3 linked regions of the Saccharomyces cerevisiae S288C genome follow. The gene in region 1 interacts genetically with each later gene. Each region holds a gene or a part of one and is shown in the gene's direction. Other genes may lie near its edges.

What was found. Genes that interact genetically often act in the same process or in processes that back each other up.
Region 2: mutations in IST3 (region 1) and SNU66 together harm fitness more than expected from each alone (negative genetic interaction), as found in Saccharomyces cerevisiae (6 studies listed by BioGRID, with this or other methods).
Region 3: mutations in IST3 (region 1) and HTZ1 together harm fitness more than expected from each alone (negative genetic interaction), as found in Saccharomyces cerevisiae (7 studies listed by BioGRID, with this or other methods).

What each region holds. Positions count from the first base shown.
Region 1 is NC_001141.2:363,179-365,847, forward strand, and holds IST3 (U2 snRNP complex subunit IST3), read left to right. Parts: upstream 1-1,710; coding exon 1,711-2,157; downstream 2,158-2,669. Other genes in the region: DJP1 (Djp1p), read left to right, coding at 43-1,341; actin cytoskeleton-regulatory complex protein PAN1, read right to left, coding at 2,288-2,669. UniProt on the Saccharomyces cerevisiae protein: Required for pre-mRNA splicing and spliceosome assembly. As part of the pre-mRNA retention and splicing (RES) complex, required for nuclear pre-mRNA retention and efficient splicing. Required for MER1-activated splicing.
Region 2 is NC_001147.6:894,111-897,938, reverse strand, and holds SNU66 (U4/U6-U5 snRNP complex subunit SNU66), read left to right. Parts: upstream 1-1,551; coding exon 1,552-3,315; downstream 3,316-3,828. Other genes in the region: RNA-processing protein NOP58, read left to right, coding at 1-1,114. UniProt on the Saccharomyces cerevisiae protein: Component of the U4/U6.U5 tri-snRNP particle, one of the building blocks of the spliceosome. Required for pre-mRNA splicing.
Region 3 is NC_001147.6:303,066-305,521, reverse strand, and holds HTZ1 (histone H2AZ), read left to right. Parts: upstream 1-1,538; coding exon 1,539-1,943; downstream 1,944-2,456. Other genes in the region: PLB3 (lysophospholipase), read right to left, coding at 1-173. UniProt on the Saccharomyces cerevisiae protein: Variant histone H2A which can replace H2A in some nucleosomes. Nucleosomes wrap and compact DNA into chromatin, limiting DNA accessibility to the cellular machineries which require DNA as a template.

The sequences.
Region 1 (2,669 bases):
TTAAGTGTTTCTTGCGGCCAGAAGGGGCATTATACAAAAGATATGGTTGTTGATACTGAGTATTACGATTTGTTAGGTGTGTCTACCACTGCATCTTCCATTGAAATAAAAAAGGCCTATAGAAAGAAATCTATTCAAGAGCATCCTGATAAGAATCCCAATGACCCCACGGCTACCGAAAGGTTTCAAGCAATATCCGAAGCTTATCAAGTTTTAGGTGACGATGATCTTCGCGCAAAGTATGATAAGTATGGAAGAAAAGAAGCTATTCCTCAGGGCGGCTTTGAAGATGCAGCTGAACAGTTCTCTGTCATCTTTGGTGGAGATGCGTTTGCCTCATATATTGGCGAACTGATGCTATTAAAGAACCTACAGAAAACTGAGGAGCTAAATGCTGAAGACGAAGCTGAAAAGGAGAAGGAGAATGTGGAAACAATGGAAGAATCACCTGCAGACGGTAAGACGAATGGCACCACTAACGCTGTTGATGCAGCATTGGGCAATACTAACGAAAAAGATGACAAAAATAAGGCGAGGACAACTTCTGGTAATTTAACTGTACACGATGGAAACAAGAAAAATGAGCAGGTAGGAGCAGAAGCTAAGAAGAAGAAGACAAAATTAGAGCAGTTTGAGGAAGAACAAGAGGTAGAAAAGCAAAAAAGAGTAGACCAATTAAGCAAAACATTGATTGAAAGATTATCGATATTAACAGAAAGTGTCTATGATGATGCATGTAAAGATTCCTTTAAAAAAAAGTTCGAAGAGGAAGCCAATCTTTTAAAGATGGAATCATTTGGTCTGGACATATTACACACAATAGGCGACGTTTACTACGAAAAAGCTGAAATTTTTCTTGCATCCCAGAACCTGTTCGGAATGGGTGGTATATTTCATTCTATGAAGGCTAAAGGGGGAGTATTTATGGATACACTAAGAACTGTTTCGGCAGCCATAGACGCTCAGAATACTATGAAGGAGCTTGAAAAAATGAAAGAAGCTAGCACGAATAATGAGCCTTTGTTTGACAAAGACGGAAATGAGCAAATTAAGCCAACCACTGAGGAACTGGCGCAGCAAGAGCAGCTATTGATGGGCAAAGTATTGTCGGCTGCTTGGCATGGTTCTAAATATGAAATAACATCCACTTTACGTGGCGTTTGTAAAAAAGTACTAGAAGATGACTCGGTAAGTAAGAAAACGCTTATCAGAAGAGCTGAAGCAATGAAACTATTGGGTGAAGTCTTTAAGAAAACTTTCAGAACCAAAGTCGAACAAGAAGAGGCACAGATCTTTGAAGAACTTGTAGCAGAAGCTACAAAAAAGAAGAGACATACATGAAGTTAGCAATCATCTCTTGTATATTAAAAATTCAAAAATTCACTTTTTTTTATTATCTGTATTCAATATAATATAATGTATATAAGATCACACTAATACTGATAATTCTATTCTTGAAAGAAAGACAATAGAACAATAAAGAAGTGATTGAACTCAGTGACAATGATAATTTATGTGATAAGGAAGTGGTTATGGCTGGAGAATTATGCCACACTTAAATGATAAGCTCTTTTACCTTTCTGGGTTTAGGAATTTTTTGAGATTAATACAGATAAAAAAAAATAGGCCGAACATTAATTACTCATACAACTCAAAAAGTGCAGCGTGCAATTCTAGATCAAGAACATAGATAATATAAACAAAATAACAATGAACAAAATTCAGCAAATCAACGATAAAGAACTACAAAGTGGAATTCTTAGCCCGCATCAATCATGGCATAATGAATATAAGGATAATGCTTATATATATATCGGAAATCTCAACCGAGAATTAACAGAAGGTGACATATTGACAGTCTTTTCTGAATATGGAGTCCCTGTAGATGTAATTCTTAGCAGGGATGAAAACACAGGAGAATCGCAAGGTTTTGCATATTTGAAATATGAGGATCAACGGTCAACGATTCTAGCAGTCGATAATTTAAATGGATTTAAAATTGGCGGTAGAGCCCTCAAAATTGATCATACTTTTTATAGGCCAAAAAGGAGTTTACAAAAATACTATGAAGCTGTAAAGGAAGAATTGGATCGAGATATAGTTTCGAAGAACAATGCTGAGAAACTCATTTTGGCTAAAAAGGACCAACCAAATTAAATAATTTTTTCTTTCATCGCATATCTTATATTCATATAGCCTAGAAAAAAATAATCAATATCATATTTGTAATTCTACATCCTTTCAGAAATTAGTATACATACGTATCTATAGAAAGCAAATTAAATCTTCATGGAAGGGGTGGGGGTGGAGGAATACCTGCAGGTGGAATTGATGGGATACCTGCAGTAGAAACTGGTTGTGCCCCTTCTTCCTCTTCATCTGTACCAACTGATTCAGGAATCGATAAAACGTCATCATCAGAATCGGATCCATATGCGCCCGTGCCTTTTTCAGCACCATTGTAGTTATCAACGTGAGCGATAATAGGTTCTGAAGTGGAAGCTTGTTGAGTTGGTAAAGGTGGGGGTGGAGGCAAAACGCCTCCAGCTAAAGCTGGGGTGGAAGAACCCGATTTTTGCACGGCAGTAGCTATTGCAGGTGCTGAGGGAATTGGAGGTTCTTGAAAGCCATCAACAGCAGGCAAAGGGGGAGCCAACGGGACGGGTGGC
Region 2 (3,828 bases), on another chromosome or scaffold:
GGGTTTAGCTCATTCCATCGGTCGTCACAAATTAAAATTTTCTGCTGACAAAGTTGATGTTATGATTATTCAAGCAATTGCTTTATTGGATGATTTAGATAAAGAATTAAACACATATGCCATGAGATGTAAAGAATGGTACGGGTGGCACTTTCCTGAGTTAGCTAAGATTGTTACTGATTCCGTCGCTTATGCGAGAATTATTCTAACAATGGGTATCAGATCCAAGGCTTCTGAAACAGATTTGAGTGAAATCTTACCAGAAGAGATTGAAGAACGTGTCAAAACCGCTGCTGAAGTGTCTATGGGTACTGAAATCACTCAAACCGATCTAGACAACATTAATGCTTTAGCTGAACAAATAGTCGAATTTGCCGCTTACAGAGAACAGTTGTCCAATTACTTGTCTGCAAGAATGAAGGCTATTGCTCCAAACTTGACTCAGTTGGTTGGTGAATTAGTTGGTGCTAGACTTATCGCTCATTCAGGTTCCTTAATTTCCTTGGCCAAATCACCAGCTTCTACCATCCAAATATTAGGTGCCGAAAAGGCTTTATTCAGAGCTTTAAAGACCAAGCATGATACACCAAAGTATGGTTTGCTATATCATGCCTCTCTTGTTGGTCAAGCTACTGGTAAGAACAAAGGTAAGATTGCAAGAGTTCTGGCTGCTAAGGCCGCTGTCTCATTGCGTTATGATGCTTTAGCTGAAGATAGAGACGATTCAGGTGACATTGGTCTAGAATCAAGAGCCAAAGTAGAAAATAGATTATCCCAATTAGAAGGTAGAGATTTAAGAACTACTCCAAAGGTTGTTCGTGAGGCTAAGAAGGTGGAAATGACTGAAGCTAGGGCCTACAATGCAGATGCTGATACCGCAAAGGCTGCTTCTGATTCTGAATCCGATTCTGATGATGAAGAGGAAGAAAAGAAAGAAAAGAAAGAAAAGAAGAGAAAGAGAGACGATGATGAAGATTCCAAGGATTCTAAAAAAGCTAAGAAGGAAAAGAAGGACAAGAAGGAAAAGAAGGAAAAGAAGGAAAAGAAGGAGAAGAAAGAGAAGAAAGAGAAGAAGGAAAAGAAGTCCAAGAAAGAGAAGAAAGAGAAGAAATAAGGATGCATTTTACATTTTAATAATTAGTGACCCCTCGCGTTCCCTTTTATTTGGATTTAGAAAATTTTCTATAATTATCCAATGCTTAACCTATTTCTCATTTCATATTTTATTCCATAATCTGTAAATTAGTGCTGTACGCCCATATTGAATTGAACTTATTATTTTTTTTAGGTGATATATTTGAAATAGTATACATAATTTATGTTTACATAGTTTTAGGTACTTTATATCATTAAAAGTTTTGTTTAACCTTTAAAAAATTTGTACCATTAGCAGTTATAGGTATTCATATCGTGAACTGCGCAACTTAAAATTATTCGCGGGACGAAAAAGATATACAAAATTTTTGAAAGTGAGCAAAGGATGAGATGGTGCAATCGTTACTATTTGATATTAATAAAAAGGCAATCATCACATCAACCCTTAATTAATTTATGAACAAAACGGAAAACCTTTCTATTGAGGAGACAAATGAAATAAGGGAAAAGCTGGGTATGAAACCTATTCCAGTTTTTCAAGAAAAGAATACAGACCATAAAGAGTCTTTGTCAATCGAAGAGACGAATGAGTTGAGGGCGTCCCTTGGCCTAAAACTTATCCCACCCCAACAAAATTTCAATTCTTCTCCCCCTAATGTACATAACACATCCAAAATCGATGAACTTCGAGAGAAGATAACAAAGTTTCAAAAAAAGGCGAACGCTCCTTTACGAATGGCGCACCTTCTCGAAGAAACTAATGTAAATGACGACAGTTCATGGCTAGAAAACATGGATGCAATTCCTTCCTCACATGAATCCAAACGTTCCAGCACATTGCCAAGAAAAGGCGCCACGAAGGAAGACGAAAATATTGATCTGCATAATGTTCAAGTATCATATAATATCGAGGCGCTTAGCCCAAAGAAAGATACGATTCTAACTTTGAAAGAGAGCAGTATTTTTGATGATACTGATTCTACCGAAGTGTTAGAGAATGTGAAAGCTGCCGAGGAAAACGCTGATAGAGAGAAACTACGATTACGACAAATGAATAAAGATAGAAGACAAAAAAAAAAAATTTTAAATGTATCTAGCTTAGATATTGAAGAAGAAGAAGAAGGAGAGAAACACTCAATTACAACTACACATCTAATCATCGGAGCAGAACAGGGTGTTATGAAGGCACCGAATACTATATCAGCAAAACCACCAACGGGAAAAGTTAAAGTGAATTTCGATAGCGCAAATAATATGTCAGATGAAGATGGTGGAGACTTTAAACCTTTAAAAATTAAAAAACGTAAGATCAAGGACCCAAGATCTACTAAAGCTAGGAAGTCAAAAATTACTGATAAGATGGAAATTGTTAAGTTAGTAGATGAAGATGAAAGTTTATCCTGGATGGAAGAAGAACAGCCAGTCACCATAATAAATCCCAGAACAAGCTCAAACAATGAATTGAAAGGGCCAGAGGACCTCGCTAGAGAAATTGAAAAGGCAAGAGACGAAGAGAAGCGACGCACTGAAAGCATTTTGAAAATGCGTGAAATTTCCAACAGTATTGTCGTCGACGAAAAGGTAACTTTTTTAAATACTTTGGATACCAGTCTCTCCGAACGAAGTGCTACTGAGAATAAAGTGAAAGTGCATGGTGAAGGAGAGAAAAATATCGGAGATGTTACCAATGGACATACTAAGGAAGGGAGTGGAAACAATACACTGACTGAAGCAGTTAATAATGAACCAAACTACGAGGGAGATGCTGAAAATGCACCGAACTTTTTTTCTGGTCTTGCATCAACACTAGGATATCTTCGGAAAAAGAGTGTTTTCACCACAGGAGACGTCGATTTGAAACCAGGAAAGGATGTTAATAATAGTGAATCACTTCGAAGGGATGTCCGAAATAAAGAGCATACGGGCACTGGCACTTATACAAAAGATAAGCTACACGGACTGGAACAATTCACATCTAGTGACTCTTCCAATGCAAATACTCATTCAAAAAGACAAGATCATTATGATCCTGACATAAAACTGGTTTACAGAGACGAAAAGGGAAATCGACTGACTACTAAGGAGGCATATAAAAAACTGTCACAGAAATTTCATGGTACAAAAAGCAACAAGAAAAAGAGAGCAAAAATGAAATCCAGAATTGAAGCAAGGAAAAATACCCCTGAAAATGGTAGTTTGTTTGAATTTGATGACAATTAACCTAATCAGCAAATTCTACTAGCCCCAGCTTTTAATATTCAATATCTTGTTTTTCTCAAGTTTGAAACCTGTGTATAATTGTATTTGGTGTATAAGGCTACGTGGTGGCCTTGAATTCGGAAGTACTTTTCAAACATTAATATTCTGTGATATACATTTGTAAAGACCTTTTGCGTTGTGCCTGAATCTCAAGCCATTGTGTCATTTCACAGCGAAGTGTCATTGTTTTAAGCGATAGAAGCTTGGCGCAACGATCGGATAAAAAAAATTGAAAAAAAAAAAAAATTGAAATGAAAATAAAAACAATCAGATATTCAAAAAATTGAATATCTGTATTCATAAAGAGGAGAAAAAAGAATAAAGAAAAAAAAGAAAAGAACATTAGACTACACGTGCAGCATATACCAACTATTTTTATTATATGCTTATATATGCAAAGCTTACGATATTTAGAGAGTAAGTGGATTGACGATAAAAGTGTTTAATAAGGAGCCATTCGTTTTTATAAAGGAG
Region 3 (2,456 bases), on another chromosome or scaffold:
CTCTCATTCTGAGATATAGACGTAGCCTCTCTTACCAGATTTATGTCATCGGGACACGACACGGTGCCAGGAACATAACTATCTGTGGGCGACCACGCATTAGCGGCCAGTAGAAACTGAGAAATTGCGAATATGTAACTGATAATAATTTTTGAACATAATGGACGTATCATTACTTATATTATTATGTGTGTAATTTCCTTGCTTTTAGTCCTCTTAAAACGGCGTATTCCAAGCTGAAAAGTGAAATATTAGAACTCGTAAAACCACGTATAACTTATATAAAAGTGGATGAAAAGCGTAACAATAACATAGTAGTGTGGTAATAATGGTGATAGAATCCCTGCAAGTCTGGATCTTGCAAAAGAAGTGCCAAATTGAGTAATTCCATAGCCAAGCCATCTTAAAAGCAGGGAAAAAGAAAGAAGAGAAAAAGGCTCATTGCACAGAAGAACCAGTACAACATTCGCGGAACCGGCAAGATATTTTCGTGGAGGACTAAAGCGAAACGAAAACGGATGAAGTTGCGGTATTTCCTGATTTGGAAGTTCTATGGGGCGTCCACCGGTTTCAAAAAAAAAGGAAAAATGATTTGCGTTTTAGTCATTGAGAACGAAAGGAGGAATTGGATTACGCGGGCAGTAATATGGTGCGCGATGCTGGCGTATTAACGCGAGATGAAGGAGGCTGAAGTCAGGAAAACTCATGTGAGTGTGACGTTACCGATGACATTATGGACACTTTTAAATGGTCATGTGACGCGGTATCACAGGAGGCAAACAACTGTACTCAGCAATTTCCCGATCACCTACTAACTGCGCTCTCTTCGCCTGGTATGCTCTTTTTGCAACGCACAAAGCTTCGTATAGTATTCATTATACGATTATTAGGAGTGCTGATGACTATCGTCTGTATTCTCTGAAGTGTTTGCCGCTGTTGTGTCTTGCCTTGCAACAGCGTATGTTTACCGTTTTATATATTGCGTGGCGCGCACCCGGTGATAAGAAACATCCATGTGATAAAACTCCGCACGTTGCTTGATTAATTAACCTCGGAGGTGTTACCCGCAATCAATATGTCTGCCAGCCGCCCGCCCGCCCCGGAGAAAAGAGCTTAGGACAAGAATCACTGTCTCTTACCTTGGAATCAGGGCAGGTCCGCACAAGCGGTAGTAAGCACATACCTAAAATAGCAGTATTCTTCTTTCTTTAGAGAACGTTAGACTCAATTGAAAAGGTTTACTGAATGCATCCATGCTAGATTAGCACACAGTAACTTTACGCCCGTAACTTACTACTCGTAGAACTGGCCGCTGGTGTTCCGTAACCCGCCGCGCTCGCTCCGTGCACGAAAACAACAAAACAAAAAAAACAACAAATAAAGCATACAGCTCTATTTAACAGCTGAACTATTATCCAGTGTAATAGAGTCACAACCCCCAACTAAAAAACACTGCGGACTCTATTATACTTCAGTCGGAAAAAATATCGTTAAATTCAATTTCGCACTATAGCCGCACGTAAAAATAACTTAACATAATGTCAGGAAAAGCTCATGGAGGTAAAGGTAAATCCGGCGCTAAAGACAGTGGTTCATTGAGATCTCAATCTTCTTCAGCAAGGGCTGGCTTGCAGTTTCCTGTCGGTAGGATTAAGCGTTACCTGAAAAGGCACGCTACCGGCCGAACAAGAGTAGGATCCAAAGCTGCCATTTATTTGACTGCTGTGTTGGAATATTTGACTGCTGAAGTGCTGGAGTTGGCTGGTAATGCAGCCAAGGATCTTAAAGTCAAGAGGATTACCCCAAGACATCTGCAATTGGCCATTAGAGGTGACGATGAGTTAGATTCTTTGATCAGGGCTACAATTGCTTCAGGTGGTGTTTTGCCTCATATAAATAAAGCATTATTATTGAAAGTGGAAAAAAAGGGAAGTAAGAAATAAGAAGAATAGTTTTTCTTTCCCATTTCCCGTAATTCTCCCTGCTCCTGTATCCTCATTCTATCCATATTAACGTCTGTATCATTATTATAAGTTGAAATTTGTCTCTCCGTACCCGAGTTATATACATACATATATGTAATCTATCTCTCCTTTCACGTCTAATCTCTTATGTTTTTACTATAATATATAGCATGAAAATATACTCTCACACAATATTCCCAACGATAGCGCAGTAGCCGTTATGTACGCAGAAATTTGGTCAGGGCTTTCTTTTTGTTGAACTTTGCATACCCGGAAAAATGGAAATTAAGGACACCTACAAAAGTACACTGTAGAAATCAAATCAAAGAAAAGGTTTAATAGACGATAAATTTCCATACGTGCCGACAGGACAAAAAAAAAACCCCCCTACCATTTCTAATAACAGCTTCACCACTAGTTATACTGTCGACTTTCTACCGATTTGTTGGTTCCTTTTTATAACCAGAAAATCATCTATCAATTGCAATTTGT